4 linked regions of the Elephas maximus indicus genome follow. The main gene of each other region encodes a partner of the protein of the gene in region 4 in a complex. Links are inferred from orthologs where the notes say so. Each region holds a gene or a part of one and is shown on either strand. Other genes may lie near its edges.

Evidence for each region.
Region 1: the proteins of TUBB4B (region 4) and CFAP107 are in contact, whole or in part, in a cryo-EM structure (PDB 9CPB), measured with the Bos taurus proteins. The link is inferred for Elephas maximus indicus from reciprocal best matches to the Homo sapiens genes TUBB4B and CFAP107. Residues at the interface, in NP_001029835.1 of Bos taurus: Lys19, Glu22, Asp26, Tyr36, Asp39, Ser40, Asp41, Leu42, Gln43, Leu44, Glu45, Glu53, Gly56, Gly57, Tyr59, Pro80, Leu215, Leu217, Thr219, Thr221, Tyr222, Gly223, Asp224, His227, Leu228, Ala231, Gly244, Gln245, Phe270, Pro272; in NP_001033296.1 of Bos taurus: Thr74, Val75, Glu76, Gly77, Leu78, Tyr80, Lys81, Leu83, Ile84, Thr85, His86, His87, Gln88, Glu89, Gln92, Arg93, Tyr94, Leu95, Ile96, Ser97, Thr98, Asp101, His102, Pro133, Pro138, Thr139, Asn140, Tyr141, Leu143, Tyr144.
Region 2: the proteins of TUBB4B (region 4) and PACRG are in contact, whole or in part, in a cryo-EM structure (PDB 7UNG), measured with the Homo sapiens proteins. The link is inferred for Elephas maximus indicus from reciprocal best matches to the Homo sapiens genes TUBB4B and PACRG. Residues at the interface, in NP_006079.1 of Homo sapiens: Glu194, Phe260, Pro261, Arg262, Gln291, Phe294, Asp295, Ala296, Arg306, His307, Gly308, Arg309, Tyr310, Val333, Lys336, Asn337, Ser339, Tyr340, Phe341, Gln375, Ser413, Asn414, Asp417, Ser420, Gln423, Gln424, Tyr425, Gln426, Asp427, Glu432; in NP_689623.2 of Homo sapiens: Glu40, Gly41, Phe42, Thr43, Val44, Ala46, Met47, Met48, Val53, Arg54, Gly55, Pro56, Pro57, Ala58, Ala59, Gly60, Ala61, Phe62, Arg65, Lys154, Arg160, Arg162, Arg191, Gln192, Pro195, Asn198, Ile199, Phe200, Asn202, Met203.
Region 3: the proteins of TUBB4B (region 4) and EFHB are in contact, whole or in part, in a cryo-EM structure (PDB 7UNG), measured with the Homo sapiens proteins. The link is inferred for Elephas maximus indicus from reciprocal best matches to the Homo sapiens genes TUBB4B and EFHB. Residues at the interface, in NP_006079.1 of Homo sapiens: Asp26, Glu27, Asp31, Pro32, Thr33, His37, Gly38, Asp39, Ser40, Leu42, Gln43, Thr55, Gly56, Gly57, Lys58, Ser78, Gly79, Pro80, Phe81, Gln83, Leu215, Lys216, Leu217, Thr219, Thr221, Asp224, His227, Pro243, Gln245, Phe270; in NP_653316.3 of Homo sapiens: Tyr523, Gly524, Val525, Gly526, Leu528, Ile529, His530, Asn531, Arg532, Tyr537, Arg539, Asp542, Arg545, Ala546, Ala549, Ala550, Arg552, His553, Lys556, Tyr608, Asn624, Phe625, Trp628, Asp630, Lys631, Thr686, Leu687, Leu688, Ser691, Asp692.

Annotation. Positions count from the first base shown.
Region 1 is NC_064821.1:52,599,528-52,606,540, reverse strand, and holds the start of CFAP107 (cilia- and flagella-associated protein 107), read right to left. Parts: upstream 3,010-7,013; 5' UTR 2,818-3,009; coding exon 2,707-2,817; intron 1,503-2,706; coding exon 1,389-1,502; intron 1-1,388. UniProt on the Homo sapiens protein: Microtubule inner protein (MIP) part of the dynein-decorated doublet microtubules (DMTs) in cilia axoneme, which is required for motile cilia beating.
Region 2 is NC_064819.1:234,900,627-234,908,190, forward strand, and holds the start of PACRG (parkin coregulated gene protein), read left to right. Parts: upstream 1-4,556; 5' UTR 4,557-4,816; coding exon 4,817-4,972; intron 4,973-7,564. Other genes in the region: PRKN (E3 ubiquitin-protein ligase parkin), read right to left, coding at 4,129-4,135. UniProt on the Homo sapiens protein: Microtubule inner protein (MIP) part of the dynein-decorated doublet microtubules (DMTs) in cilia axoneme, which is required for motile cilia beating. Suppresses cell death induced by accumulation of unfolded Pael receptor (Pael-R, a substrate of Parkin).
Region 3 is NC_064845.1:19,818,773-19,826,407, forward strand, and holds the start of EFHB (EF-hand domain-containing family member B), read left to right. Parts: upstream 1-4,633; 5' UTR 4,634-4,650; coding exon 4,651-5,583; intron 5,584-7,635. UniProt on the Homo sapiens protein: Microtubule inner protein (MIP) part of the dynein-decorated doublet microtubules (DMTs) in cilia axoneme, which is required for motile cilia beating.
Region 4 is NC_064827.1:987,678-994,934, forward strand, and holds TUBB4B (tubulin beta-4B chain), read right to left. Parts: upstream 2,967-7,257; 5' UTR 2,885-2,966; coding exon 2,828-2,884; intron 2,552-2,827; coding exon 2,443-2,551; intron 2,306-2,442; coding exon 2,195-2,305; intron 1,717-2,194; coding exon 656-1,716; 3' UTR 513-655; downstream 1-512. Other genes in the region: protein FAM166A, read left to right, coding at 49-166, 424-512. UniProt on the Homo sapiens protein: Tubulin is the major constituent of microtubules, a cylinder consisting of laterally associated linear protofilaments composed of alpha- and beta-tubulin heterodimers.

The sequences.
Region 1 (7,013 bases), on a different chromosome or scaffold from region 4:
TGCTGAAGTCAGTTCTCTGTAAGACCCCTCCCCTAATACCAAGTCAATTCACCCCTAGAATGAACTATGGTGACACATTGAAATTAAAGTCAGGGCTTCCAGCTGAATGGGAAGGGGGTCAATGCCACCAAGCCGCCCACCCTTGTGATCTGAAATGATGCCCTTTGATTTGTTTCAAGTCTCATTCCAGCCAAGTGCAGATTTCCAAGGGGAGAGAAAGATGTTGAATACCAGGCCTGACATTTGCACTTTATATTTCAGTCCGTTACTATGGGAAGAATCAGAGAGCACGTCATAAATTGTCTTCACTCACAAAGGATTTATGGGTCCCTCAGCTGGAAACTGGGAGAAGGATTGCTTTGTTGAGGGGGGAGTTATTTACAGGGAGAAGAAAGCCAGGTTCTGCTTTGCTCTGGGACATTCGCCTGAATCAGTGATTTTCTTAAGAAAATCCTTTGGCCATGGAAGGGCGTCCTGGGGAACCAGGCTGATTTACAGGGGAGGCTAATGTTGATTTGCATGCCAGTCCTCTTGTCTGGAGCAGACAGGGAGGGCTGTGTCTGCTACAGTTGGGAAATACTGGCTGGATCCAATATTTCACGTGATGCTTCCATAAATAAGTCAGGTCACAATGCCCGAGGGAGACAGGGGGATGGGCACAGACAATGAAGCAGGGGTTCCCAAGATGTACATCACCAGGTGCCCCTCAGTATCTTCCCAGTGCCAGAGAAAGTGACTTGGAGGGTTTCCCATCAAGAAAGAGCAGTGCTGAGAAGGCACAGTGGCCCAGCCTAGGGCTTGGTGGGGTGAGGAGAGAGGCCAACAGGGACTTTCTAGCCCCTTCTCTTGGTTTCAGGTGCCACAGTGGTGGTTCAGTAGTAGAATTCTCACTTTCCATGAGACACAAAACCTGGGTTCCATTCCCAGCCAATGCACCTCATATACAGCTACCACCTGTCTGTCAGTGGAAGCTTGCATGTTGCTGTGATGCTGGACATGTTTCAGCAGAGCTTCCAGACTAAGACAGACTAGGAAGAAAAGCTTGGTGATCTACTTCTGAAAATTGGCCAGTAAAAACCCTATGGATCACAATAGTCTGATCTGCAGCCCATCACGGAGATGGCACATAACCGGGCAGCATTCATTCCATTGTGCATGGGGTTGCCATGAGTCGGGGGCAACTCGACCACAGCTAACAACACCAACTCAGATCATCTACTCGCACGGATAATGAAGAGTTAATGCCACTGTCAGCCTCTGTGCTGGGGGATGATACGAGTGAGACAAGTCTTGTTTTCCTAAGAGCAGTCTGGGCCTACAAGAAGTAGGTTCCATGTTCCCTGGGCTATGTGGGGCCATCGGAACCAAGGGCTGCCACTCCCTCTTACCTCCACTCTCCTCTTTCCGTACCACCTGGAGATCTGGTCAGGCCTATGGTCTGGAAAGGGGATGTACTCTTTTCTGTAAATGCACTGGGGTGTTTTCTCAATGGCTCTGGTGAACTGGAAAAGACCAAACATTCTGGAGAACCCTGTGATGCCCTTTCTCAGACATCTGCTTGGCCCCTCACCTCTCAGGCCCCTGGAAGATTGGTAGAGAAAGAGTAAATATGGGCCCCAGGCATCCTGCACAATGCAGGCAGGCTGAATTCTGCCTCCCATGGGCTGGGACCACCCTCCAGGACCTCTCAGAAGAGCCATGATTGGCGCTACTTGACCACTTCTTACTGTTGGCATCTGTTTCCTTCCTCATCTTCTCTCTCCTGCTTGCCTCCGGCCTTCCTCTCCTGCTTTGTTCCTTGCACTCTTTAAGCCATCCCTTTTGGTAGCTTTTTTTTTTTTGGTAGAAGACCAGCTCGTAATATCCCTGGGGACTGACTAACCCACAGGAGCCACAGGGGACTGCTCAGACAACTTTTTCCTTTGTCCTTCTTGCCTTTAGAACTTCCCTTACACAACCTGTCCACCAACAGGTGCAATTAGGGAGAACAATAACCATAGGCCATATCAGGCCAGAGGAGAGGTCAGTGCTAATGTTCCCATGACAGCAGCCTCTTTGGGTTCTCAGAGGTCACCACCAACATTCCCCAAGCCTGTGCTCTCGCACCCTCTTTTCCTTGCCCATTTCCTAGGAACTCGGGAGGTTACCCAGGTGTCTGCATACATGGTTCAGTCTTGTTGGCCACAAATGCAGATGTTCAGCTTGAAGTAGGCCAGGTCAGACAGGGTATTTTCCAATGGCCTTTAAAGCACAAAGGAATGCAGCCTATTTGTTCCACTGGGAAAATAAAAATTGAAATACATGGGAAGGCAGGGTTGTGGACCATGTGCCAGAGAGCAGCAGCACCACCCTGGACATCAAGGCAGGGAAGTGCCAAGCCTGCCTTGGCAGGTGCCGCATTCTGGAAGGACCAGGCCAGGAGAATGGACATTCTTCAAATCAAGGTGCAGAAGAATTGGGGACAGTCCTGAGAGGCATGGCTTCCTTGATGTCACAGCTATGGTATTTTTGAGACAGAATGGGGACAAGCGTGATGACTTGAACATGATCCCCTAAGTCGAGCACAGAGACCCTGATGCCACATTTGTATGATGGATGCACAGCCATCTGTAGCTCTGGATTTGGACACAGTGATGACCCTCTCCCTCTGCCTCTCCCTGCCAGTCCCCCCTCTGCACCCTCTACCCCCCTCCTCTCTCTTCTTACCTTCCTTCTCTCTTCCACCCAGTTCCCAGTGAGCACGCGGGTGGAATACTTGGGCTCGATACACCAGCTGGGAGTGGAGTACGACTGTGGGCTCAACGCCCTCACGAACATGGCAAGGCTTCACCCTTACTTCCTTTGACTTGGTGCACTTTCAGGTTTCTAGAGGGGTATGATGAAGTGGCCAAGTTTGGGATGCCCTTTCCTCAGCCGCCCTCTCGAGTGAGTAGAAGACACCCTGCTAATTTTGTGGACAAAAGGGTGCTGAGAAGTCCACTTTGGGCCTCCAGGGAGAGGTGCTGTGGTCTTGGATACCCTACTGTTGACTGTCTCCATGGTGACAGACTCTGGGTAAAAATACTCTCCTTGAGGGAACAGCTGATTCTGCACGAGAAAAACTGACCCCATGAAAACAAATCAAACCAACCACCACCACCACGAAATCAGGGGCCACAGGGGTCTGGTATTCCTGCTGTCACCCTAGGAGGGCCATCATCCTTGCTGCATTTTTACAATTAGGGTCAGTTGAAATGACCCCGTTCTACTACTACTTACTGAGTACTGATGTCTAGGCCTACGCTAAGATATTTGCAAGTATTCACTGGTTGAGTCCTCACAGTGGGGCAGGGCTCTTATTTTACCCATTTTACAGATGAGGCCGCTAAAGCAAAGAGAGATTACATGGCTGCCTAAAGCCCCACAGCTACCACAAGGAAAAGCTGGAATGCAATTTCAGTCTGATTCAGGGCTAAACTAGTGGGCCCCATTGCCTGTCTGCACTTTGTCTAAGGGGCTTCCACTAAGAATCCTCCACGCATAGTTCATTGGTCAGTGCGTCTTCACTTATTTATTCCACAAACATTTTACTGAGCACATTGTAAGCACTGAGCTGGAGGCTGCAGTCCATCAGTGACTAAGACTTGGGCCTCACCCTCCCGGAGCATGCGGCCCATCTTCTCGCTTACTGATTAAGCAAAGAGTCAGGAGCCACCTAAATATCCACCAACAGAGGACTGATTCAATAAATTGTGTACATCCATAAAATGAAATATTCTGCAGCTGTTAAAAAAAAAAAAAAAATCCTGACTTAGAAGGATGTCTCTACCACATAGTTAAGTTAAAGAAGCAGGAATATGTGTGCTGTGTAGTCTTGCTTGCCACAAATGAAGACATTCATTTTTAAGTAGGCCAATTCAGAAAAAGTATTTTCCAAAAGCCTTTAAGAAAAACTAGAGGAACTCCAGGAATCTATTTGTTCTATCTTGAAAGTAAACTTGCAGCAGAGAGAGGCCATGGGATGTGGGATAGAAAACAATGCAAACCTCTAATGATCCGGGACCACAATCTGGGCAGGCTGGAGCCAAGAAGAAGAAATACTCTTTCAGTCAAGGCAGAGGGAGCCATGTGTACTAAATTATTTCACTTTTAAAATATTCTCTTGTAAAAGGTAACACAAACATGAAAAAGTGCATTAAAAATATTCAGTGGAGGTGGAGCCAAGATGGCGGAATAGACAGACGCTTCCATCAAGCCCTTTTTACAACAAAGACCCGAAAAAACAAGTGAAACAAGTATATTTGTGACAAGCTGGGATACCTGAGCATCAAAGGCAAGCTTAGACAACGAATTGAGGGGCAGGGGAAGACCGGTCAGAAGCTGAGAGGAGTTACCGGACCTGAATCGCAGGGAGCCCTCAGGCACCATTCCTGGAGGAGTGGCACTGGCGGCAGCGGGGGCGGGCTGGTCCTAGCTTTCGGCCCCAGTTTTCTCAGGGAGAAGCAGCAGCCACATAGCCCACTCACACCTCCAGAACCTGAGGAGAAGGGCACTCTCAGCAAAAGCTAAGTACTTGCGTATATTTTGCCGCGCCCCCACCCCACCCCCAAGCCGGCTTCAGCAGCTGAATCCCTGGGCCTGAGACAGACCCTGGTGAGCTCCTAGAGCCAACCTCCCGGCCTTGGGGAAGGAAAAAATTTCCAACTGGGGGGAAAAGATAACTTGCTAGCTCCATTAACTGGGGGAGCTCAGGACAGAACCGGCTCCTGTCCAGGCATAAACCGTCCGAGAACCTTGAGCACCTTTCCCTTCTGCATGGACCTGTGTGGGTCTATTTCCGGAGAATAGGCCCTTGTTGGCAAACTCCAATCATTTCAGCAGTGCAGTGGAGAGGTGGGTGTTTGACATTTGACATTGCTTTGCCTATTAAACAAGGTCCTCACCTACCCACAACAGGGACCTAAGGACTGGTGGCTCCACTTGGGTTGCCCAGCCACCCACGACAGGGGCCCAGGGATAACTGGTACCTCCCAGTCCTTACAACAAAATCTTTGGGTGCCCATGGTCCCTCTGCAGAGCCCACCCACCAGTATGCTCTAGGGAACAGAAATGCATTTTCCTCAGAGACACGTGGAGGTCGGTTCTCAGCCCCCTGCCTTATTCAGAGCATGACCCCCTGCTGCACTCAGATATGGGTATATACGCCAATCACCCCTGCCCCTCTAAGACTGTACGACAGAGCCTGTACCACACACTTGACAGCAGCTACCTGGAAACCTGAGCTGAATTCATACAAGAAAATCAAATGGACTCCTAGACTGATATACCTGATAACAGCTCTAGCCAGCTGGGGACAGGACACCAGAGCTCCAAAGGTGAAAATAATCAAGCTAGCTCACTCAAGCAACCCATAGGGGTATACCAAAACAAAACAAAGCAAGCAGCTACGACACAGTAAGCAAGCATAAACTAATACAATAACTTATAGATGGCTTGGAGACAACAGTCAATATCAAGTCACATAAAGAAACAGGCCATGATTACCTCAACAGGATCTCAAAATAAAGAATCCAGGGATCTTTTAGATGAAAGTGCATTCCTGGAATTACCAGATACAGAATACAGAAGTTTAATGTACAGAGCCCTTCAAGACATCAGGAAGGAAATGAGGCAATACGCAGAACAAGCCAAGGAACACACAGATAAAGCAACTGAAGAACTCAGAAAGATTATTCAGGAACATAATGAAAAGCTTAATAAGCTGGAAAAATCCATATACAGACAGCAATCAGAAATTCAGAAGATTAACAATAAAATTACAGAATTAGATAACTCAATAAAAGTCAGAGGAACAGATTGAGCAAGTAGAAGCTAGAATTTCTGAACTCGAAGATAAATCACTTGGCATTAATATATCTGAAGAAAAATTAGACAAAAGAATTTAAAAAAATGAAGAAACCTTAAGAATCATGTGGGATTCTATCAAGGGAAATAACCTCGGAGTGATTGGAGTACCAGAACAGGGAGGGATAACAGAAAATACAGAGAAAATTGTTGAGGATTTGTTGGCAGAAAACTTCCCTGATATTGTGAAAGATGAGAAGATATCTATCCAAGATGCTCATCGAACTCCACATAAGGTAGATCTTAAAAGAAAGTCACCAAGACATATTATAATCAAGCTTGCCAAACCAAAGATAAGGAGACAATTATAAGAGCAGCGAGGGATAAAAGAAAAGTCACCTACAAGGGAGAGCCAATAAGAATAAGCTCGGAGTACTCGGCAGAAACCATGCAGGCAAGAAGGCAATGGGATGATATATTTTAAAAATTGAAGGAAAAAAATTGCCTGCCAAGAATCATATATCCATCAAAACTGTCTCTTAAATATGAAGGTGAAATTAAGACATTTCCAGATAAACACAAGTTGAGGGAATTCGTAAAAACCAAACCAAAACTACAAGAAATACTAAAGGGAGTTCTTTGGTTAGAAAATCGATAATATCAGATATCGCCCCAAGACTAGAACATTGGGCAGAGCAACCAGAAGTCAACCCAGACAGGGAAATCCGAAAAAAAAAAATACAAAGCGAGATTAAAAAAAAAAAAAAAAGCCCAACACAGGGTAACGGCAATGTTATTATATAAAAGAAGACAACATTAAAATAATAAAGAGGGACTAAGAAATGTAATCACACACCTTCCATATGGAGAGGAAGATATGGCGATACAAAGAAATAAAACACAATAAAAATTATTAAAAAAAAGAGCAGACTAGGCAGAGAGAAAGAAGCACAAACAGGAAGATACAAGCCACATGAAGATCTGCCGAGGAACCGAGGAGCAGAAGCTGAGGAGAGACAGTGATCTTCCCTCAGAGTTGACAGAGGGAGAGTCTTCCCCTGGAGCCGCTGCCCTAAATTCCAACTTCTAGCCTCCTAAACTGTGAGAAAATAAATTTCTGTTAGTTAAAGCCAAAAAAAAAAAAAAAAAGTACAAGGTACAAATGGCCAATAAACACATGGAAAATGTTG
Region 2 (7,564 bases), on a different chromosome or scaffold from region 4:
CGATCCCTGGCCTTGTTGTGACTATAACATTGAGGTTCTCCATCATCTCTTTCCAGAGATGTAGTCAACTGATTCCTGTGTATTCCATCTGGTGAGGTCCATGTGTATCTGATTCTGTTGGCTCTGACTCACAGTGACATTACAGGACAAGGTAGAACTGCCCCCATAGTTTCCAAAGCTGTAATCTTTATGGGGGCAGACTGCCACATCTTTCTCCCATGGAGTGGCTGGTGGGTTTGTACCACCAACCTTTCTGTTAGCAGCCGAATGCTTAACTACTGTGCTACAGAGTTGCTTCTCCGTGTGTATAGGTGTCATTTACATTGTTAAGAAAAAGTATTTCCAATGAAGAAAGCATTGGTCTTGCAAAATTCTATCATGCAATCTCCAGTGTCATTTTTATCACCAACTCCATATTTTTCAACTACTGATCCTTCTTTGTTTCCATCTTTCACATTCCCATCACCAGTAATTATCAATGCATCTTGACTGCACGTTTAATCAACTTCAGACTGCAAAAGTTGGTAAAAATCTTTCATTTCTTCATCTTTGGCATTAGTGGTTGGTGGGTAAATTTCAATAATGGTTGTATTAACTGGTCTTCCTTGCAGGCATACAGATATCATCCTATCGCTGACAGTGTTTTACTTCAGGACAGATCTTGAAATGTTCTTTCTGAAAACGAAGGTGACACCATTCCTCCTCAATTTGTCATTCCTGGCATAACAGACCATATGACTGCCCAATTCAAAATGGCCAGTACCAGTCCATTTCAGCTCACTAAAGCCTAGAATATTAATCTTTATGCATTTCATTTCATTTTTGATGACTTTCAATTTTCCTTAATTTATACTTCATACATTCCATGTTCTGATTACTCATGGATATTTAAAGGTATTTCTTCTCATTTTGAATCCTACCACATCAGCAAATGAAGGTCCTGAAAGCTTAATTCCATTCACGCCATTAAGGTCGACTCTACTTTGAGAGGGGCCCTGGTAGCTCAATGGTTAAGAGCTATGGCTGCTAACCAAAAGGTCGGCAGCTGGAATCTACCAGCTGCTCCTTGGAAACCCTGCAGGGCCGTTCTACTCTGTCCTATAGAGTCGCTGTAAGTCGGAATTCACTGGACTGCAAGGGTTTTTTTTTTTTTTTCCTCTTCTTCTTTGAGGAGGCAGCTCTTCCCTAGTTGCGTTTTGAGTGCCTTCCAACCTCAGGGGCTCAACTTCTAGCACTATATCAGACAATGTTCTGCTGCTATCCATAGGCTTTCACTATGTTTGTTTGTTTCCAGAAGCCGATCGCCAGGTCCTTCCTCCTGTCTGTCTAGTCTGGAAGCTCCACTGAAATCTGTCCACCATGAGTGACACTGCTGGTATCTGAAATACCGGTGGCACAGCTTCCAGCATCACAGCAACACACAATCTACTACAGTACAACAAACTGACGTTTGTGTTGTAATACACACTTACTTACTCTACATAAAGCAATAGCTGAAGTATGAGAAAAAATGCCTTTTAAAATCCACCCTATATTCTCCATATCATTGTCAAAGATAATACTTCTTTTATTCATAATTTCCAAATAAAAACTAAATACAACTGGCTAAATAACTTTCATCCTAATAAAGTTATTTGCATAATCATGCATTAGATATTAATTTAGAATTAAGCAAAGACTTTTAGATCTCAAGTTCCTGTCTTTTTATGATTTTACAATACGTTTGCTATTCTTAATAATATCCTTGTACTGAAGCAGAATTTTAAAAATTTGCATAATTGTCTTCAAAATAAAGCATAGGCTATTATTCTTTTCCTGTAAAATAATGATACAAATTCTGAGAAAACACCTTTTGCTTGGTTTTCTGATTCAGTTCAGATTTGTGTTTTCAAGTAATTCTTGTGCAAATGCCACCTAAAAAGACTCAATAAGATTCATAACAATGTATCAATTTTTCTTAATTTGATAATTTTTAACAGTCATTCACTAAAATCCATTCCACGCTAGAGTATAAGATGGAAAGCACACCAAGGTTTCACCATTGCTGCAAAAGAAAAAAAAATTTGCAAAGCCAAGGCTAATTAACCACTGTGACTCTCCTAGAGACGAGACCAATGCTTTGCATTTTAACATTCTTTCCATAAATAAAGCAGACTTGGGAAATGCTGTGGGGTAACTACACCTGTAAACCAAACCCACTGTCATCGAGTCGATTCTAACGATAGTGACCCCATAGGACAGAGTAGAACTGCTTCATAGTTTCCAAGGAGTGCCCGTTGGATTGAAACTGCCTACCTTTTGGCGAGCAGCTGTAGCTCTTAACCACTACACCACCAGTGGTGTCCCCAGGTGGTGCAAATAGTTAAGCTCTTGACTAGCAGTAGAAAGGTTGGCAGTTTGAACTGACCCAGGGGTGCCTTGGAAGACAAGCTTCGTAATCTCCTTCCAAAAGGTCACATCCTCTGCACACGTAGGGTTTCCATGAGTTGGAATCAACTAGAGGGCAACTAACAACAGGAAATGCCCATTGCTGTCAAGTCATAGGGATTCTATAGGACAGAGTAGAACTGCCCCATAGGGTTTCCAAGGAGGGGCTGTTATATTCCAATCGCCCATCTTTTGGTTAACAGACGATCTCTTAACCACAGAGCCACCAGGGCTTCACAGACAACCTATGTGTTCCTCCCAAAATCTATGCTGGAATCCTAACCCCTGGACCTGTGGATGTGGTCCCTCTTGGAAATAAGATTTTCTTTGTCATGTTAATAGAGCCATATCAGTGTAGGGTGTGTCCTAAACCTAATTATTTCTGAGTTATAAGAAGAGCAGTAGAGACATGGAAGGAAGCAGAAACAGGGTGAAGACAGATGCCATGTGAAGATTGCCAAGGAACCAAGGAATGCCTCCAAAAACCAGAGGGAAGGCATCCACAAGGTGGAAAACCTAATTTGGAATTTTAGCCTTCAGAACTGTGAGAAAATTAAATTTCTGTTCTTTAAAGCCATCCACTTGTGGCATTTCTGTTACAGTGGTACTAGGAAACTAGGACACAAACTTAAGGTATTTTATCAATCCACCACTCATCTTTCTGAACAGACCACATCCGAACTAATATTTACTTGTTACAATCAAAAACGTGTTTTGTGGTATCCCTCAGAAATAAGCCTAATCTCACACCATACTCCTAATACATAAACTGGAGCAAGTCTTTGTCATACCGAGCCCCTCAAATAGTTGTTTTCTAATCCTACTGTGCATTTCCACAGATTTTCAGGGGTAGCCTCTAAAATAACTTGGCCCTTGTCTCTTAACCCTGGAAGAGAGGACCCTTGCTAATCTAAAACATCACAGTATTTACAAACAACTCTAACATCCACTTCCAAAGCTTCATTCACAAGGCATCTCAGTCATTTTGTGTTTTATATATATATATATTGCAGTTAATGCATTATGCAAATGGCAGAATATTCAAACCTTGCTATTACACTGCTAATTATTCTTTTATCTCAGACTCTCAGGGAGAGGTTTAGAAGAAAATGTCAAGGAAGCAAGTATAAATTCACATAAAGGAATGTTTTGAGCCCAACCATCAGTACCATGTGTTTTTCATTAGAGTTTGATTGTCTCCACGATTCCCCTTAAAGACTTCTACTGAAGGGGTTCCACCGTGTCCTAGGCTGAAAGACAGCCAGCCAAGCTCACCAGAGCAAGGTGAGGGAGGACACCTGGGCGGGGAACGGCGGCGCTCCAGTGACCCCACACGGGTCTTGCAGGGGCGTTTGCAAGGCTCTGGGCGTCGGGGACCCATGTGGCACCAGGAGGAGGGGCGGTCATCTCGGAGGGAGGTGGCAGGCACTAGTGCCCCCTGGCTAGTGTTCCTGACTAGCTCTCTTCGGTGGGAGCCTGCTAAACCAGGCAGGAGGGCGAGGGACCACAGAACACACACTTAGTTTCTGGTCCCCCAACGAGAGTCGCAGGTCCAGGCCGTGTCCCCGGACACAGGAGCCCAGGCAGCGTGGGCACTTGTCTCCTGTCACTGACAGGTGTCACGGCGGGTACCCCCGGGTCCCCTCGGCCCAGGCACGGCATGGCGGCGCACAGACGCTGTACCTGGCAGGCACCACGTACCTATCATGGTCACTGGGCGGGCGGCGGCCGCTCGGCAACAGGGCTCCAGCGCCCGTCGCCCGCCGCCTCCCAAGGCCGCTCTTCCCGGCTGTTGCTCAGATCTCCCCACCCACGCTCTGTTCCCCCGGGACGACCGAATGCGCAAGCGCAGAAGACTACGGCCCGAAGCCTGCCGGGAGTCGTAGTTCCGAATTGCAGTCACGCCGTCGCCCCCCAATCACCTCCTCTCACTGCAACTCTAGCCGGCTCCAGGCACAAAGACGCATGAGCAAAGGAAACGCGTCCCGTGGCCTGCCGGGAGTCGTAGTCCTGACCGGCAGCTACGCCTTCGCCCCGCCTGCCTCCCTGCGGCGACCCTTTCCGGCTTCAAAGCCCAGGCAGCGCACGTCACGACAGGGCGAGGCCGTTCGGCCGCAATGTTGACGCGTCGCTTAGCAACCGCGGGCTTACCTTTGGAAGCTTGTTGCAGCTCTAGCCAAGGTCCTGCGCTCCTCCCGCCCCTCCCCTCCCCCAAACCCTGTTCACCTAGGAGCTGCCAAACATCTGGATCGACCTGGGCACTACGAGGGGTGGAATTTCTATCAGTATTGCGCCTTTTGACATTTTTTCCCGACCTTCTTACATCCGTAGGCCCCACTGATTCTTAATACACTTTTTTTTTTATGAGAACAAGACTTTTCCTAGGAAGATGGTGGCAGAAAAAGAGACCCTGAGCTTAAACAAATGCCCAGACAAGATACCGAAGAGGACCAAGCTGCTGGCCCAACAGCCGCTCCCGTTGCACCAGCCGCATTCCCTGGTTTCCGAGGGCTTCACAGTCAAAGCCATGATGAAAAACTCGGTCGTAAGTGATCTTCCGATTGAATGCTCTCCTCCAAAGCAGGGTACACGAGGTTGTGCAGGCTGGCCCTGTAATGGACCCTGAGCCGTGTCCTGGGTGGTCTTTGCCAAACTGGCAATTATTTGGCCAGTGGGAGACTGTACCCAAGAGTGTGGATGTCAAGTTAGGTTGGTTAGAGAGGATCCTGGGCAAGTGGTGTACCGTCCCGTTTATAAGCACCTTCCTATGCACTCACAGTTTCTAGAGCACCCAGAATTACTCTTAAGCTGTTTATGCGAACAAAAAAGATCCCCTTTATTTATTGGCTACCGAACTAGCTCTACAGGGCAAAGGGCCTTATAGGAGGTGAGTTGTTAGAAATCACAAACTTTTGCAAAATTTAACACGTGCTGATGTACAGCTGAGAACATAAGCTCATTAAATCATCTGTAATGAGAAATTTCATCCACGTAGGTAATTTTGGAATATCTTAGGTTTACTCCAGCAACACCGTTTCTCACAAAATGATATCAGCCTGTTAGAGTACTCAGAGTACCGAATATGAAGTCTATTTCCTGGTAACAATAAGCGATGCTTTTAAAATAATCCAATCTTCAGTTCAAGAATCTCTGACCATTAACCAAAACCGAGCCCGTTACCGTCGAGTCAGACTCGTAATACCCTATAGGACAGCAAAGAACGGCCCCGTAGGGTTTCCAACACTGTGATCTTTTTGGAAGCTGACTGCCACATCTTTCTCTCACACAGTGGCTGGTGGGCTCGAACCACCAACCTTTCAGTTACCAGCCAAACAACCACTGCACCATCAGGGCTCCTTCTGCCTATTAGTACAATTCGTATTTCATTTCCATTTGTGGTAACAAAAATATTCTTAACACTATTAGAAAATAAATTTTTTTTTAATGCACACAAATCCTTTGGCTATATACATGGTAATTTAGTTTAAAAAAAGAAAAAAAGAAAATCTTCCTATTTGTTAAATAGCTTTAAATGTGGTATGCTAAACCAGATTTTACTACTGAGTAAGCACCTGTCTGGGAATGAGGCATTAATAATAAATGTAGCTTTCAAATTTGTATAGTTTACACCCTGGGAGGATCTGATTTATTATGTGTAACTCATTGTGTTAAATGAATAGTGTTGCTTTCCAGTGTGGGTCACATTGTTTGTTTTACTTAAATGTTGCAAATGTGATACCTTATTCCTAAACCACGTCCTTAAATACGTGAAAGAAACAGATTACCTCCAGTCTCCATGTCTGATCCCCACGTTGCTACACAGAGTGGTGTTCTGGTTGTTCGTACTTGTGTGAATTGATTTACAATAGTTGAAATTCTGGGAAATACACTAATAATCCTGCATGTTGTTACTGCAGTCTTTTCATTGTATTTCTTGTGAACTGTTTCTCAGGGTAGCCGGGATGACTCATTTATCAGCCATTCAGAATCCCATAACCATACAAGTGAATCATTTATCTTTTCTTCTATACAGTATTTATAATGATCATTTTGAAGATTTTTTTCCAGTGTTACATTTTAACATCACAGATGTCTAGGAAAAAAAAAAAAAAAAGAGCTCAGATTCTCTTGTTTTTTAAACTGGTGTTCACAAATTCATATATTGTGTGTATTCTTAAACAGCCTTACACCAAAAGTCTCTGTTCTGGAAAACCGAATGTTTTGTCACTAGAAAAAAAAAAAAAAATCCATTGCCATCAAGTCAATTACAACTCATGGCAACCCTGTACGTTACAGAGTAGAACTGCTCCGTAGGGTTTTCTTGGCTGCAGTCTTTACAGAAGAAGATTGCCAGGCACTTCTGCACCTCCGCTGGGTGGATTCAAACTGCCAATCTTTAGGTTAGCAGCTGATTGCACACCGCTTGCACTGCCCAGCAAATATGTTGACAAAACTCAAAGACATCGATTATGAAGTAGCTTTCTTTATAAACAACTAATTTGAGATAAATTATCTTCTTTGCATATTTTTAAAGAAAACTTTTAGTGCACTATCTATGTCTCCACTGGGATCCCAGAATGGAATGGTTCATTTTTTTCACTCCATTTAGCAGAAATCGTAATTCTTAGAAATAAACATTATTCAGTCAGTCTGGGATCAGCAAGTGAACAAAACAAAGTCCCTGTCCCTAGGAAAACCACCACTACCACTTTATCAACAATAAAGTCTTGATAAAACTAGACAGTGCTCTTCATACAAACTAACTTCAGTGGTAAAAGAAAGGAAGTATTTCACCGTTTACCTTTAGCAGCATAGGACTTTTGGCATTTATAAAGTTAAAATATCCCTACATCTTCCTTAAGGTGTATTTCTATTTAGACAACATAATATGCCAATCTCCAGCTTTTCTTAATCGAAACCCCATATTGCGAAAACCAAACCTTCTAACCATTTTTCAGCATTAAGGATTGCATTCAATTCTGTTTTTCAAATGCTGGCTAGTTAGATGAGCTGCCATTCCAGTGCTCCCCACAAAAGATACATAGAGCTGCACCCTCGGGAGTCGTATGACGATTCCTGATATTCTTGTGAGAGTGCCGTAATGATAAGTATAAAAATTTGATCATTGACAAACTTG
Region 3 (7,635 bases), on a different chromosome or scaffold from region 4:
TCTGCCATATAGAGTCACTCTGAGTCAGAATCAACTAGATGGCAGAAACAGCTTGCCTTTTTAATCTACTCTTCACACTTTAGCCACTCTCCTCTTCAAAAATGTTCAATGATATCTCATTGCTTAATAGAGTCCAAAATTCTTTAGCTCTAGTCCCAACTCACCTTCTTACATCCCCTAACCACCCTATGCTCCTCCATGCTAACCGGAAAAGCATGATGCGTCATACCTACATGTTCCCATCTTGGCATCTTACTTTGTTCTCTCCACCTGAACACCATTACCTGGCCCATCGTTGCCAGGCTCACCTCAGTTGGGATGCCAACTTCTAGACAGCGTCTATGTATACTTCTCCCAGATTTAATTATCGTTTTCTTTCCTCTGTGGTTTCCCAGTACTTTGCTTTACTCTCTATAATGGTTCTTCTAACATCCTGCCTCAGAAAGTTCCTAGACTTTTCTCCTCAGCCCTTCAGTCTTCTTAGGATTACAAAGTTCAGTTTCTCACAGAGCTTAAGAGGATCTTCACTATGATACCCAAACCCAAACTCATTGCTGCCAAATAGATTCCGATTCATAGCCACCCTATAGGATGGAATAGAACTGCCCCATGAGATTTCCAAGGCTGTTTTTTTAATCATTACAGAAGGAACCCTGGTGGTGCAGTGGTTAAAGCGCTTGGCTGCTAACCAGAAGGTCAGCGATTTGAACCCAGTAGCCACTCTGTGGGAGAAAGATTTGGCAGTCTGCTTCTGTAAAGATTTACAGTCTTAGAAACCCTGTGGGGCAGTTCTACTCTGCCCTGTAGGGTCGATATGAGTTAGAATTGACTGAGTGACAGTGAGTTTGGTTTTTGGAATCTTTACAAAACCAGAGTGCCACATCTGTCTCCCACAGAGTGATGGGTGAGTTTGAACCATCAACCATTCAATTAACAGCCAAGCTCTTAATCATTGTGCCACCATGGCTCCTTACCCTTGGGTTACACATGTTGCTGTTGAGTCAATTCTGACTCATAGCGACCCTATAGGACAGAGTAGAACTGCCCCATAGGGTTTCCAGGGAGCACCTGGTAGATTCGAGCTGCCGACCTATTGGTTAGCAGTGGAACTCTTAAACACAATTGCTTTGCAAACTGCTTGAATCACTGAGGAGCTGTTCCAGGTATTCATGTTCCCTGGATCCAAATTAGTTCCTTTCATGTTGCAGGTTTTCAACAAACATTGGTTGAATGAATAATTGCACAACAGGAGGTTACTCCTAACTTGCTGTTGGATATTGAGTAGCTTTTTTTTTTTAAAGCGAACTGAAGAAATGATAAAGTAAAAGAGCTGAACAGAAGATTTCAAAGGACTTCTCAAGAAGATGAAGTAAAGTATTATAGTGAAATCTGCAAAGACCTGGAGTTAGAAAACCAAAAAGGAAGAACATGCTTGGCATTTTTTAAGCTGAAAGAACTGAAGAAAAAAATTTGAGCTTGGAGTTGCAATAATGAAGGATTCTGTGGGGAAAATTTCCAGAGGTAGCATATGCTCAAGAGCTGATGGTACTGAAGGAGGAAGTCCAAGCTGCATTGAAGGGAATGAGAAAAAAACAACGGTCCAGGAATTGACAGACTACCAAGTAAGATGTTTCAACAAATGGTTGCAACACTGGAGGTACTCACTCATTTGTATCAAGAAATTTGGAAGACAGCTTCCTGGTCAACTAACTGGAAGAGATCCATATTTGTGCCCATTACAAAAAAAGGTGCTCCAATAGAAGGCGGAAATTATCAAACAATATCATTAATATCACACACACACAAGAAAAACAAAAACCTGTTGCTGTCGAGTCGATTACAACTCATAGTGACCCTATAGGACAGAGTAGAACTGTCCCATAGGGTTTCCAAAGAGCAGCTGGTGGATTCAAACTACTGACCTTTTGGTTAGCAGCTGAAAGCTTAACGACTGCGCCACCAGGGAACTTGGGTGGCACAGGGGTTAAAGTGATTATCTCTGCAAACCGACAAGTCAACGGTTAGAAACCACCAGCAGCTCTGCAGGAGAAAGATGTGGCAGTCTGCTTTCGTAGAGATTTACAGCCTTGGAAACCTTATGGAATTGCTACGAGTCAGAATCGACTCAACAGCAGGGTGGAGATGGGGGGGCGGGGAATAATATCACACAGAAGTAAAATTTTGCTGAAGATCTTTCAAAAGCAATCGCAACAGTACATCGACAGGGAACTGTCAGAAGTTCAAGCCGGATTCTGAAGAGGGCATGGAACGCAGGGTGTCATTGCTGGTGTCAGGTGGATCTTGACTGAAAGGAGAGAATACCAGAAAGCTGTTTACCTGTGTTTTGTTGACTATGCAAAGGCATTCGACTGTATGGATCATAACAAATTATGGATAACACTGTGAAGAATGGGAATTCTAGAATGTTTAATTGTACTCACGCAGAACCCATACATAGACCAAGAGGCAGTTGTTCAAAGAGAGCTAGGGAATGCTGCGTGGCTTAAAGTCAGGAAAGGTGTGCGTCAGTGTTGTATCCTTTTGCCATACTTATTCAATCTGTATGCTGAGCAAATAACCTGAGAACCTGAATTGTATGTAGAAGAATGCTGCATCAGGATTGGTGAAAGACTCATTAACAACCTGCAGTACGCAGATGACACAACTTTGCTTGCTGAAAGTGAAGAGAATTTGAAGCACTTACTGATGAAAATCAAAGACTACAGTCTTTAGTATGGATTGCACCTCATCATAAAGAAAATAAAAATCCTCACAACTGGACCAGTAAGCCACATCATGATAAACGGAGAAAAGATTGAAGTTGTCAAGGATTTCATTTTACTTGGATCCACAATCAACTCCCATGAAGTAGCAGTCGGGAAATCAAATGACGTATTGCATTGGGCAAATCTGTTACAAGAGACCTCTTTCAAGTGTTGAAAAGCAATGATGAGGCTTGAAGGACTATGGTGTGCCTGACCCAAGCCGTGGTATTTAAAGAAAGTTGGACAGTGAATAAGGAAGATCAAAGAAGAATTGATACCCTTGAATTACGGTGTTGGCGAAGAGTGTTTAATATACCATGGACTGCCAGAAGAATGAACAAATCTGTCTTGGAAGAAGTACGGCCAGAATGTGCCTTAGAAGCGAGGATGGCAAGACTTTGTCTCATGGACTTGTTATCAGGGAGACCAGTCTCTGGAGAAGGACATCATGCTTGGTATAGGGTTAGTGAAAAAAGAGATGGATTGATACAGGGGCTGCAACAATGGGCTCAAGCATAACAATGTTTGTGAAGATGGCGCAGGGCCGGGCAGTGTTTCATTCCTTTGTGCATTGGGTCGCTATGAGTCGGAACCAACTTGACAGCACCTAACAACAAGTCATTTAAAGCACTTAGAGGAAGAAGGATATTTATATTAACTACCTAGTAAATTCTATTTTAACTATTTAAAAAAAATGTGAAATAGTATTCTCTAGTCCCTCTGGATTTAACAAAGTTTTCATAGTTTTTTGTAAATACTGTCCATTTCCATTGCCATCGAGTTGTTTCCGACTCATAGCGACCTTGTAGCACAGAGTAGAACTGCCACGGGGTTTCCAAGGAGCGCCTGGTGGTTTGGAACTGTCGACCTTTTGGTTCATAGCCGTAGCTTTTCACCACTATGGCACCAGGGTTTCCATAAAGAGTGTAGAATCTTGTAAATTACATTCAAATTCCCTAATAGGTGTTGTATATCCCCTATGCGTGTAGACCATGAGACGTAACTATCCAAATACACTTTCACTAAAATTTGACAAAGTAACTCCAACTTAAAAAAAAAAAAAAAAATCCTATTCTTAAAAACAAGTTTTGAGTTTGTCAGAGTATTTAAAAAAAAAAAGCAAACTATGTATTATTGTGTAACAGTTATCTCACAGTTTAATATCTTTACTTTTTAAAGCCTAGCTATTAAAGTTTTTTTTTTTTTTAAAGTTTAAGTGTTGTTAAGGACTTTAATAGGTTTCTGTAGCACAGCTGCCAAGTTATAACTTTCCAGAATTTAAAGTAGTTCTTTAGTGCTAGAAGAACTACATGTACTGAGGGTGTGCTTGCACTAGGGAAGTCCTAAAAGTGGTCACCACCAGAAAAAAAGTTATTTATTCCCTGATGAACCACAAAACCAGGAGGTCAGTGACCAGGAAAAAGCTCGTGGCTGAAACCATCCTAAGGGATTGCGTTGCTTAGGAAATCAGTGAGAAGTTGGTGAGCATTTGGTCTCTTGCCCAAGGCCATATTATTCAAGTGTTCTTGCCAAATTAGCCCATTTCTGCCTCTGAAAGGATAGAAGCCGCCCCACACACCCGGTGAAGATTGTTCCACTCAATCTCATCCTACACCCAGAGAAGCAAATCCATAGTCGGCGCACGAGCACACACACACACACACACACACACACACACACAAAAAAAAAAAAAAAAACGGGGAAAAAAGCAAGCGGAGAGGTAAAGAGTTGCAGAGTGGGGACCAGCAGGAGCAAGAATTGCGCGCCAAGCCCCGCCCCTGTTTCCTAGGTAACTGGGTAAACAGTCCTCCGTCTACTTTTCCCTGTGAACTCAGCTAGATGTTAAGTGGTGGGCAGAAACAGTGGGCAGGGAGTCCGAGTGGGGATGTGCTCTTTTGTGAGAGTGGGGTCCCCTAAGGGAATGAAGTCCCCCAGGGAAATGAGAACTTCCCTTGAGCCAGGCGCAGCTTTCCCACTAGAGATGAGCCCCTTTGGTGGAATGAAGGTGCCTGGCGGGACATCTCTGAGCGCGGAGGTCGGGCTCACCCACCCAGGCAAGGATGATTTAGGAAACAGGAGGGTTCTCATGGGAACACAATATCCCACGGAGTTGGGGCTTGGAGTAGGGTTAGGAAAAGAAGAATCCCGATGGGGAGAGAGCCCCATGGTTAATACTAAGTATGAGAAGAGGATGGAGCCGCAAGAAACAAAATCTCCACTGAGCAAGGGCCTTGAAATAGGATTAGAAAAACAGAATATTTCTGGGCTAGAGTTGAAAATCCCCACGAAGTGGGATCATTTAGGAGTGAACAAGGTCTCAGTCTCTCAGGAAACAAAACCTTCTCTGGGAATGTTGCCAGGAAGAATGGGGTTAGAAAATAAGTGTCTTCTGGCAGGATGTCCCCATGGAAGGATAATACAGCCTCCCTTGCATATGGAGTGCGGAAGTCCACAGGTTCTAGAGAGCAGGAGAGGGCCTGTGGCTAGTGCCCTTGAAGGGACAGAGGCGTCAGTGGGAAAGCAGCCTGCTTTGGGTATTGAACCTAGACAGGAACTGGAGAAAGACTCTGCCTGTGTTTTGATGAAGCCCAGTGCAGAGATGATGCGTCCAGTGGATGTGGACACTGGGCTACCCCAACCAGAGGAGCCAGAGCCCCAGATGGGCTTAGTGATAGAACCCCCTGTATGCCAGTTTGCCCAGCAACCTGAAGAGAAAAAGGAGGAGGTTGAGAACACTGAACTAGGGGTGGAACCTCCACATTGCATCAGACCCATATACTCTGGAAAATTTTTTGATCGAACGCCTCACTGGCCAAGTGTAAGTATTTTTTCCAGTATTTTCTTTGGGAACTATGTGTTGTTAGGTATTTATTGTGATGATAAAGTTATTAGACCTGTTTGAGCTTGTGGAGTGAAATTGCGAAGATTCCATTGGGTTCTGATATCTGTTGCCCCATTGGACTCATTCCACATATTGATCTCCTCTAATTTTCTGACTGCCTTTCTAAATGTCTACATTGTTTGCTGTTTACACCAGTAGTTCTTCCTGATTTCTTCTTCCTTTCTCCTTTGACCATCATTTCCTTCCTCAATCTTAATTTTCTCAACCCTTTCACCAAGATTCATGTTGTGTCGTAACATTCCTATAATGAATGGGGAAAAAATTTTTTTTTCTATTCATTATTTATTCTGAGAGTTATTAGTTCCTTCAATAAAGATTTGTGGCGGTCATTGTGCTAGGAATGTTGTTAGGTGCCGTTGAGTCAGTTCCGACTCATGGTGAACCTGTGTACAACAGACGGAAACACTGCCTGGTCCTGTGTCATCCTCACTATTGTTATTATGCTTGAGCCCGTTGTTGCAGCCACTGTGTCAGTCCATCTTGCTGAGGGTCTTCCTCTTTTTCGCTGACCCCCTACTTCTCTAAGCATGATGTCCTTCTTCATGGACTGATCCCTCCGGATATCACGTCCAAAGCATGTGAAACAAAGTCTTGCCATCCTTGCTTTTAAGGAGCATTCTGACTGTATTTCTTCCAAGACAGATTTGTTCATTCTTCTGGCAGTCCACGGTATATTCAGTGTTCTTCGTCAATGCCATAATTCAAAGGCATCAGTTCCTCTTTGGTCTTCTTTATTCATTGTCCAGCTTTTGCATGCATATCAGACAATTGAAAACACTGTGGCTTGGATCAGGCATGCCTTAGACCTTAACGTGATATCTTTGCTTTTTAACACTTGAAAAAGTCTTTTGCAGCAGATTTGCCCATGCAATGTGTCATTTGATTTCTTGACTTCTGCTTCCGTAGAAGTTGATTATGGTTCCAAGTAGAATGAAATTCTTGACAACTACGGTATTTTCTCTGTTTATCATGATGTTGCTTATTGGTCTAGTTACGAGGATTTTTGTTTTCTTTATGTTGAGGTGCAATCCATACTGAAGGCTGTGTTCTTTGATCTGGATCAGTAAGTGCTTTAAGTCCTCTTCACTTTTAGCAGTCAAGGTTGTGTCATCTGCATATCGCTGGTTGTTAATTAGTTTTCCTCCAATCCTGATGCCCCATTCTTGTTCATATAGTCCAGCTTCTTGGATTATTTGCCCAGCATACAGACTGGATAAGTATGGTGAAAGGTGACAACCCTGATGCACACCTTTCTTGACTTTAAACCATGCAGCATCCCCTTGCTCTGTTTGAATGACGGCCTCTTGGTCTGTGTACAGATTCGGGAAGAGCACAATTAAGCGTTCTGGAATTCCCGTTCTTTATAATGTTATCCATTATTTGTTATGATCCACACAGTCAACTGCCTCTACATAGTCAATAAAACACAGATAAACATGTTTCTGGTATTCTCTGCTTTCAGCCAGCATCCATCTCACATCAGCAATGGTGCTAAGTAGAAAAAAAAAAGGGCAATATAAAATAAATAGCACATGATCTCTACCCTCTAGGTTTAGGTTTTCACTCCAGTGATGGAGACAGACAACTAAGTAGATATTATATAGATGCCTAAATGGATATAAAACAAATGTGATTCTTTCTTCATACAAGTGCACACACAACATAGAACTCAGTAGAAAGACTGAATAATACCGCTTGGAGGAGATGGGCAAGGCTTTACGGAGAAAGTAATATTTGAGCTAATGTTAAAAGGTATCACTGTTAGATGGAAAAATGAGATTAGAGTATCTTGGGCACAGAAAGGCATAGAGCGTGACCAAAGCTGCTTGTGTTTGGGAGACATAAGCAATTCTGTGTAACTAGTATGGTATTGAGAGATAAAGGTAGAGAGGAAATACATGGAAGAAATCTAAAGCTTCCAAATGCAGGGGTAAAGCACATGGATACAGAGTCAGTCGGTGGATCTTA
Region 4 (7,257 bases):
GTGTGGGGCTGGGGGCTGCAGAGCATCAGGGTCTGCCTCTACACTCAGTTCCTGTCTAGGAACCCCATCTGTGCCCTGGGCCAGAGGCTGCCCAAAACACACTGGCCCAGCAACACCATCTACAGCAGCCAAGGCCTGATTCCCTTCTACATGGGGTTTATACCATGTGAGTACACGGGGCGGGGTGTCAGGATGTGGGACGTGGCCATCAGCTCAGGCAGTTGCACCTAGGGAGGGGGCGGTTGACTGGGCACACCCACCATCATCCCTCCCCCAGCGTGGACTAGACTTGAACAGTGGAGTCTGGGACCAAGGTCTGCCTCACACCGGGGTCTGGTCCTCCTTGAGGAAGCAGACTTCTTCACCAGCCAGTGGAGTCTGGCCAGGTGACCAGGGCTCAGCTGCACCTGTCCCCCTACCCAGCCACTCAAGACAGCTATGCGCTCACATTTGGCAACAGCACCCGGAAGGCCTATCAGAAGGAAACAGAGAGGCGGGGCCGCACACTATGAAAACGCTTTAATGGAGATGTCTGTACAGCATGTAAGGAGAGACAGAAGGACAGCAAGTGAGACAGTGAAACATGGTATCAGAACAGGTTGTGAATGAATAAAGAGTTCACACCGCTTCCACGCTTCCCCACTAGCAGAGCGCCCTAGGCCACTTCCTCCTCGGCCTCCTCCTCAAACTCGCCCTCCTCCTCAGCTGTGGCATCCTGGTACTGCTGGTACTCGGACACCAGGTCGTTCATGTTGCTCTCAGCCTCAGTGAACTCCATCTCGTCCATGCCCTCGCCTGTGTACCAGTGCAGGAAGGCCTTGCGCCGGAACATGGCCGTGAACTGCTCGGAGATGCGCTTGAACAGCTCCTGGATGGCCGTGCTGTTACCAATGAAGGTGGCAGACATCTTGAGGCCGCGGGGCGGGATGTCGCAGACAGCCGTCTTCACGTTGTTGGGGATCCACTCCACGAAGTAGCTGCTGTTCTTGTTTTGCACGTTCAGCATCTGCTCGTCCACCTCCTTCATGGACATGCGGCCCCGGAAGACGGCGGCCACCGTTAGGTAGCGGCCGTGGCGGGGGTCACAAGCGGCCATCATGTTCTTGGCATCAAACATCTGCTGGGTGAGCTCGGGCACGGTCAGGGCCCGGTACTGCTGGCTGCCCCGGCTGGTCAGCGGGGCGAAGCCGGGCATGAAAAAGTGTAGGCGGGGGAAGGGCACCATGTTGACGGCCAGCTTCCGCAGGTCAGCATTGAGCTGGCCTGGGAAACGCAGGCAGGTGGTGACCCCACTCATGGTAGCTGACACCAGGTGGTTCAGATCACCGTAGGTGGGCGTGGTCAGCTTTAGGGTTCTGAAGCAGATGTCGTAGAGAGCTTCGTTATCAATGCAATAGGTCTCGTCTGTATTCTCCACCAGCTGGTGCACCGAGAGGGTGGCGTTGTAGGGCTCCACCACCGTGTCTGACACCTTGGGCGAGGGCACCACACTGAAGGTGTTCATAATCCTGTCAGGGTATTCCTCCCGGATCTTGCTGATGAGGAGGGTGCCCATCCCAGACCCAGTCCCCCCACCCAGGGAGTGGGTCAGCTGGAAACCCTGCAGGCAGTCACAGCTCTCGGCCTCCTTCCTCACAACGTCCAGCACCGAGTCGACCAGCTCTGCACCTTCTGTGTAGTGCCCTTTGGCCCAGTTGTTCCCAGCACCACTCTGACCTGCAAGGGAGAACAGCTGCTGGTCATTCTCAGCCAGGCACTCCCACCACAGATCATCTGCGTCCATGCCAAAAGAGCCAGATAATGTGGTGTGAGGTGGCACACAAAGTTCGTCCTGTGGGCAGAGCAGACAAGCCCCCAAAACCATGAGACTACAGTCTGCCCAGTTAGGAGTTAAATTAGAGGCCAAAGTTGAGACAGCCTAACAATAAACCAGCCCCTCCCACGGCAGCCCTGCCAATTCCCAAGGACAAGTCTAGCTCCAGAGAGATTACACCTGCGCGTTCCTTCCCTACAGACAGCTGAGCCTTTCTCCCAAAGCCGATTTATGAGAAGGGATTGAGTGACTCCAGGGGAAGCGTGTCCAGGGGCCTAGTTTTTGCCCTGGGGAGGGTGGATTCTGACAGTGACCTTTGGGCCTGCCCATGGATGGCCGTCCTGGCTTTCCAGCCACCCACACAAGCCCCACCCTGCTCACCAAAGACGAAGTTGTCGGGGCGGAAGATCTGCCCGAAGGGCCCTGAGCGCACAGAGTCCATGGTGCCCGGCTCCAGGTCCACCAGCACGGCGCGGGGCACGTACTTGCCACCTGGGGGGGGGCGGGAAGGGCGTCGGCGGGGGCGGGGGGCGGGGGAGCGGGGGGGCGCCGGGGGGCCGCGGGGGGGGCCGGGGGCCGCGGGGGGGGCCTGGGGGCGCCGGGGGGCCGCGGGGGACCTGGGGGCTCACCGGTGGCCTCGTTGTAATACACGTTGATCCGCTCCAGCTGCAGGTCGCTGTCGCCGTGGTAGGTGCCGGTGGGGTCGATGCCATGCTCGTCGCTGATCACCTCCCAGAACTGCGAGGCGGCGGGCGGGCGCGGGGCTGAGTCACGCCCGGCCGGTGCGCAGGGAGGCGGCCCTGCCCCCGCCCGGCTCCTCCGCCGCCCCGCCCCGCACCTGCCGACCCCCGCAGGGCGGGCGCCGAGGGCCGCAGTCCGGGGCCGCAGTCCGGGGCCGCAATGCGGGGGCGCCGCCCGCCCGCCGCCGCCGCCGCCGCCGCCATCTTCCCGGCCGCCCGCCCGCCCGCCCGCCCGCCCGCCCGCCCGGCGCCCCCCCCGCGGCCCCCCGCCTACCTTGGCGCCGATCTGGTTTCCGCACTGCCCGGCCTGCAGGTGCACGATCTCCCTCATGGCGGCGGCGGCGGCGCGGGCAGCAGGTCCAAACCGGGAATGGAAGAGCGGGCACACGGACTGCTACAACCGACGCTGCGCGAACCCTTATATATACGCGGCGCCCGCCCCCGCCGGCGTCGTATTGGGCTTCCAGAACGAGGCTGGCAAGTGACCTCGATTGATTGGCTGCTACCCCGACCATCGAGCCGCCTAAGGCCCGCCTTCCCACGGCGGAGCGCTCTTTATTGGTCAGCCGCTTCCTGCGCTCTCCCTATCCAAGTCCTCCCCCATCGCGCCGCAGTGCTCTGCCCATTGGGTGTTTCAAATGATTGATTTGTGCTTTCATTGGCTGTCGCCGGGGTGCACGGCGACGGGCTGGTGCTATTGGCCAAACGGGGCTAGCGTCCTGGTAACCGCCGCAATGCAGCGGGCGCCGCGCGCGGAAGGGCGGGCGCGTGCTGCGGGCGCGCGCACTCCGGTCGGGGCGCCGGTTTCCGGCCCGGCGGCGGGCTCCAGGGCCCGACCCGGGCGGCACGGTTGCGGGCAGGCCCGGGGCGGAGGCTGAGGAGGGTCCGGGCCCGGGGAACGCAGGAAGGGCGGCGCCTCGAGTCCGGACCGGGCCGGTGGGGCCCTCGCGCGAGCGCCGGAGCGCGTCACTGCAGCCCCGCGTGCGGCGTCGTGGAGAGCCCGCCGCGCTGGCCTCGGGGGCGAGTCGGACCGCCCCTGGGCCCGGCATGGGCGCCTTCTCGAGGGTGGCTCCTTCGGTTCGGTCGTCACGGAACCGGCATGAGTGGGCCAGTTGTCCGCGCTGTGCCGGAGCCCTGGGGGTGGGCGCGGCTGGGTTCGGGGAGGCGAGCGCGCCGGGCCCGGGCCACCCTGGAGAGGTCTTGGCGCGGGCGAGCCCCGGAGGTCCGCAAGCAGGAAGGGGCGTGTTGTCATTGACGCTAAAAAATAAACAAGCTGCAGGCGCCAAAGGGGCGGTGGCGCTGGGACAGGAGTGCTGGCGGAGGAGGGGACCTGTCTCTCCTGCGCCCCGACAGTGGAGACCAAGGGGGATGTGGCGAGAGGCTTCCTGTCCTGCCCGCTCCTCACGCCCCGCGACCCTCACAGCCTTGTGAGGTGCGCGCCCGGGCCCCAGTCCGGCCCCTGCCCGGACGGCCGCCTTTGAAGGCGCAGCGCCCTTGGGTGCGGAGTGGCCGAGGTCTGGCGCAGGGCCGCCTCCTCCTCCTCCCCCGCAGTTGCTCCCGGGGAGCGAGTCGGACGCGCGGATCCTGCCAAGGCCCGGGGCCCTACCCCTGGCAGCCGCGCGCGGGCTGTTTGTAGAGACGCTGGCCCGGCGCCCGTCGCCTTGGTGTCTGTGCCCAGAGCGCACCGGGCTGCCTGGAGACCAGGGCGGCGTCAGGGCGCGGGACCTCCCTCGGTGAGCATGGGATCGTCACGGCTCCACGGCTCAGCCGCAACCAGGGCTCGGCGCGCCTGACCTGAGAAGAGCTTTTATTTCTCTCTGATTTATATGGGGGGCGGGGGCGGGGACTTATAAAGGAATACTAGTTAAATTACATGTGATTGCACCTTTAATCATTTTCTTTTGAACTACGCATTTGCATTATATGTTTGTAAAATTTTAAAAACAAGATATACAGTCAGGACTGCCCTGAACAGCCTCTCTTGCCGTGGCCAGGTGGGGGGTCAGGGGTTCTCTGGATTCTGGTTTTCTTGAACTTCTCACCCCCTCAGCTTCCTGACTCAGGGTGTCCTGGGCAATACCTGCTGCTCTATTTCTCTCTTCGGGGGGGAGGCGGGGGTGAGGGGGGAATGCTAACCCTTCTTCAGGCTTAATTAAACACATTCTTGGGTGGTTTCAAAGACAGAAACAGCTTATCTTTGGGTCAAAATCTCCAGGACAAGCAGCAGCCCAGCCTAGAGGCCAGCCAGCGTTTATGCCCATTGAGAGGAGTCTGCAGCTTCGCTCACCCTGGATCTACTGTCCTGGCCTGGGGGCGAGTTGGTCTATCAATGTGCTGAACAGTCCTCGCAGGGCTGGGGGACCACTCCTTCCCCACTCGCCACCTGGGAAGGCAGGTCTGGCTTCTGTTAATCACCCATCGCAGGCAGGATCTCTTGGTGCGTAGGAAGTGTCGCCCCAGTCCTAGGGTCCTCATGGTGCCCATTGCTTCCCCTCGATTTGGTTGCCAAGTGGTTAGGTGTCCAAGCAGTAGGCAAAACACGAGTTGTCACAAATTCAGGGGGAAGAAGGGGGGCGGGGAGAATTCTGATTTCTTCACTCAGCCTGCTGGGGCTGCTCTTGAAGGTACTTGGACCCCTCATTCCTGCCTGTTTTCAAAGATGTCTCTGCCCCTTAGGCTGTGCACTGGAAAAAGCCACTGGTAACTGTGACAGGTTCTCCTGGGGCTATGAGGTCTGCATGTCACCCCCGTTTTGCAGGTGATACACAGAGGCTGTGGGAGTGAACCCCAGCGCCCTCGGTGGACCAGGTGTCCTCTCCCCGACAGTGCCCGGGTATGGTCAATGCTGGCTGGGACAGGAGGCTGGGGGCCTGCGGCTGCCACACAGAGCTGGTGGCGAAAAGCTCCAAAGTTCCCCACCCGGAGCCCTCCGTGGGGCCCCAGTCTGGAGAGATGAGCAGTGTGGGCAGGAGGGCAGCTGCTAGGACCTGGGCCAGGTAGGGGTCTGTGGTTGGTGGAACACAGAGCAGCAATGGCCGGAAGCAGGGAAGCCCAGGCAGAAGAAGCCCTGGATCTGGTGTCCAGGCTGTGGGAGTGCTGGCCAGCCCCACCCACTGTGCCTACAGCTGTTGGAGGAGTCCTCAAGGACAGCTCTGTTTACCAGTGGCCATGGTCCCAGCGGGAGGGTTTGTTATCTCCGGCCTCAAAGGACCCGGCGGTCAGCCTTTGTAGGCAGCCTCACTGGCTCCGGAAGGAGGGGTATGAGGAGCACTTTCCTCCTCCTGCCCATGAGGGCCTCATTGCCTCCCCAAGGCCCCCCCATCACCCTCCCCAGGGCACTGGCCAGGCCTAGCCCCTCCCGAGGAGATAGCAGAGAATACCATAAGGCCAGTGGGTGGGACCAAAACTGGGGAGCAGAGCTGGCCATGGGGCCCTGGTTCTTGCTGGAGTTCACCTGTGAGGGACCCACAATTCCCAGAGCAATGTCACCTTGGGTTAGCCAGGTGATCCCCAGTCTCCAGAGGCTCTCACAAGGGGTGCTGTAGGAGCCTGGGGGACACTGGGGGGCTGAGGGGACTAGGGGAAATGGGGGAGCTGAGGGGACAGAGAGAGCCTGGGAGACACTGGGGGTAACTGGGGGAGACTCGGAGAACTTGAGGGGATCCAAGGTGGGATAAAAGGACAAGACTTCAGCAAGAAATGTAGTCTCCTTGGCCAGCTCCCCTTGTCCTCCATTTGGCAAACCTGGGCTCCCAGGATGGGTGGGAGGGTGTAGGAGGAGAGGTGGGTCTCCTGGATCAGGGGAGGCTTCGGGCCACAGCATAGGGCTCTAGAAGTGTGCCAGACAGTCAGGCCCTGAGGGAGGGTCAGGCTGCCCAATTGTCCATGCACATGCCCTGGCTAAAGGACTGGGTTCTGGAATGACGGACATAATTCACTTGAAGCTTCCCTCCTTGGGGGAACCCTGCGGTCGGCTGGGGTGTGGGCAGCCCTGGGCGGGAGGCAGTAGCCAGCACTCCCCTGGTGTCTGCTTACAAGATGGCCGAGGACAAGCCTTCCTGTGTGAAACCGGATCCCAGGGAGTAGGGTGCTGGGCCTGTACTCCCCACAGGCCCACCTGCTCTGAGGGCATGTCCTGGGCAGGCATATCCCCAGGTGCAGGGTCTCAGAAGGTACTGCGGACCTGGAGAGGGGTTTGCAAGGCCAGTGGTTCAAGACATGAGGTCTAGGTACAGTGACCCCATCTGCAGGACTGACTTCCTGGTAGGTGTCAGCCAAGCCGAGTGGCGCCCCCTGGTGTCTCAGGCAGGTGCGGGGGGGGGGCGGTGCCTGGGAAACCCTAGCCCAGGGGTCTCCCACCCACTGCCCACCTTTGGCAGCCCCCACAGTCTAGGATAGGTTCCTGGAGCCCCACCCAGAAAAAGGGTACTAGAGAGAGAACCAAACTGGGGGGGATGCCTTAGGGACAACCCCATCCTTACGACCCTCTCCAGTACTCTCCTTGCTTCCCCCCACCCTGCACCTAGCGGGACCTAAGCTCTCAGTCTCTGAGGTCCTGCAAGCTGACCACCATGAGTGGGGCCAGGAAGGCAAGGGGGCTTCTTTGCCCTGGCCACGGTCCTGCAGGAGCCCCAGGGGTGGAGGGGCTAGGAGGCCGCGGAGGGTAGGAGCAGGTCTCCCATCTCACCTCCCGCACAGGAGGGA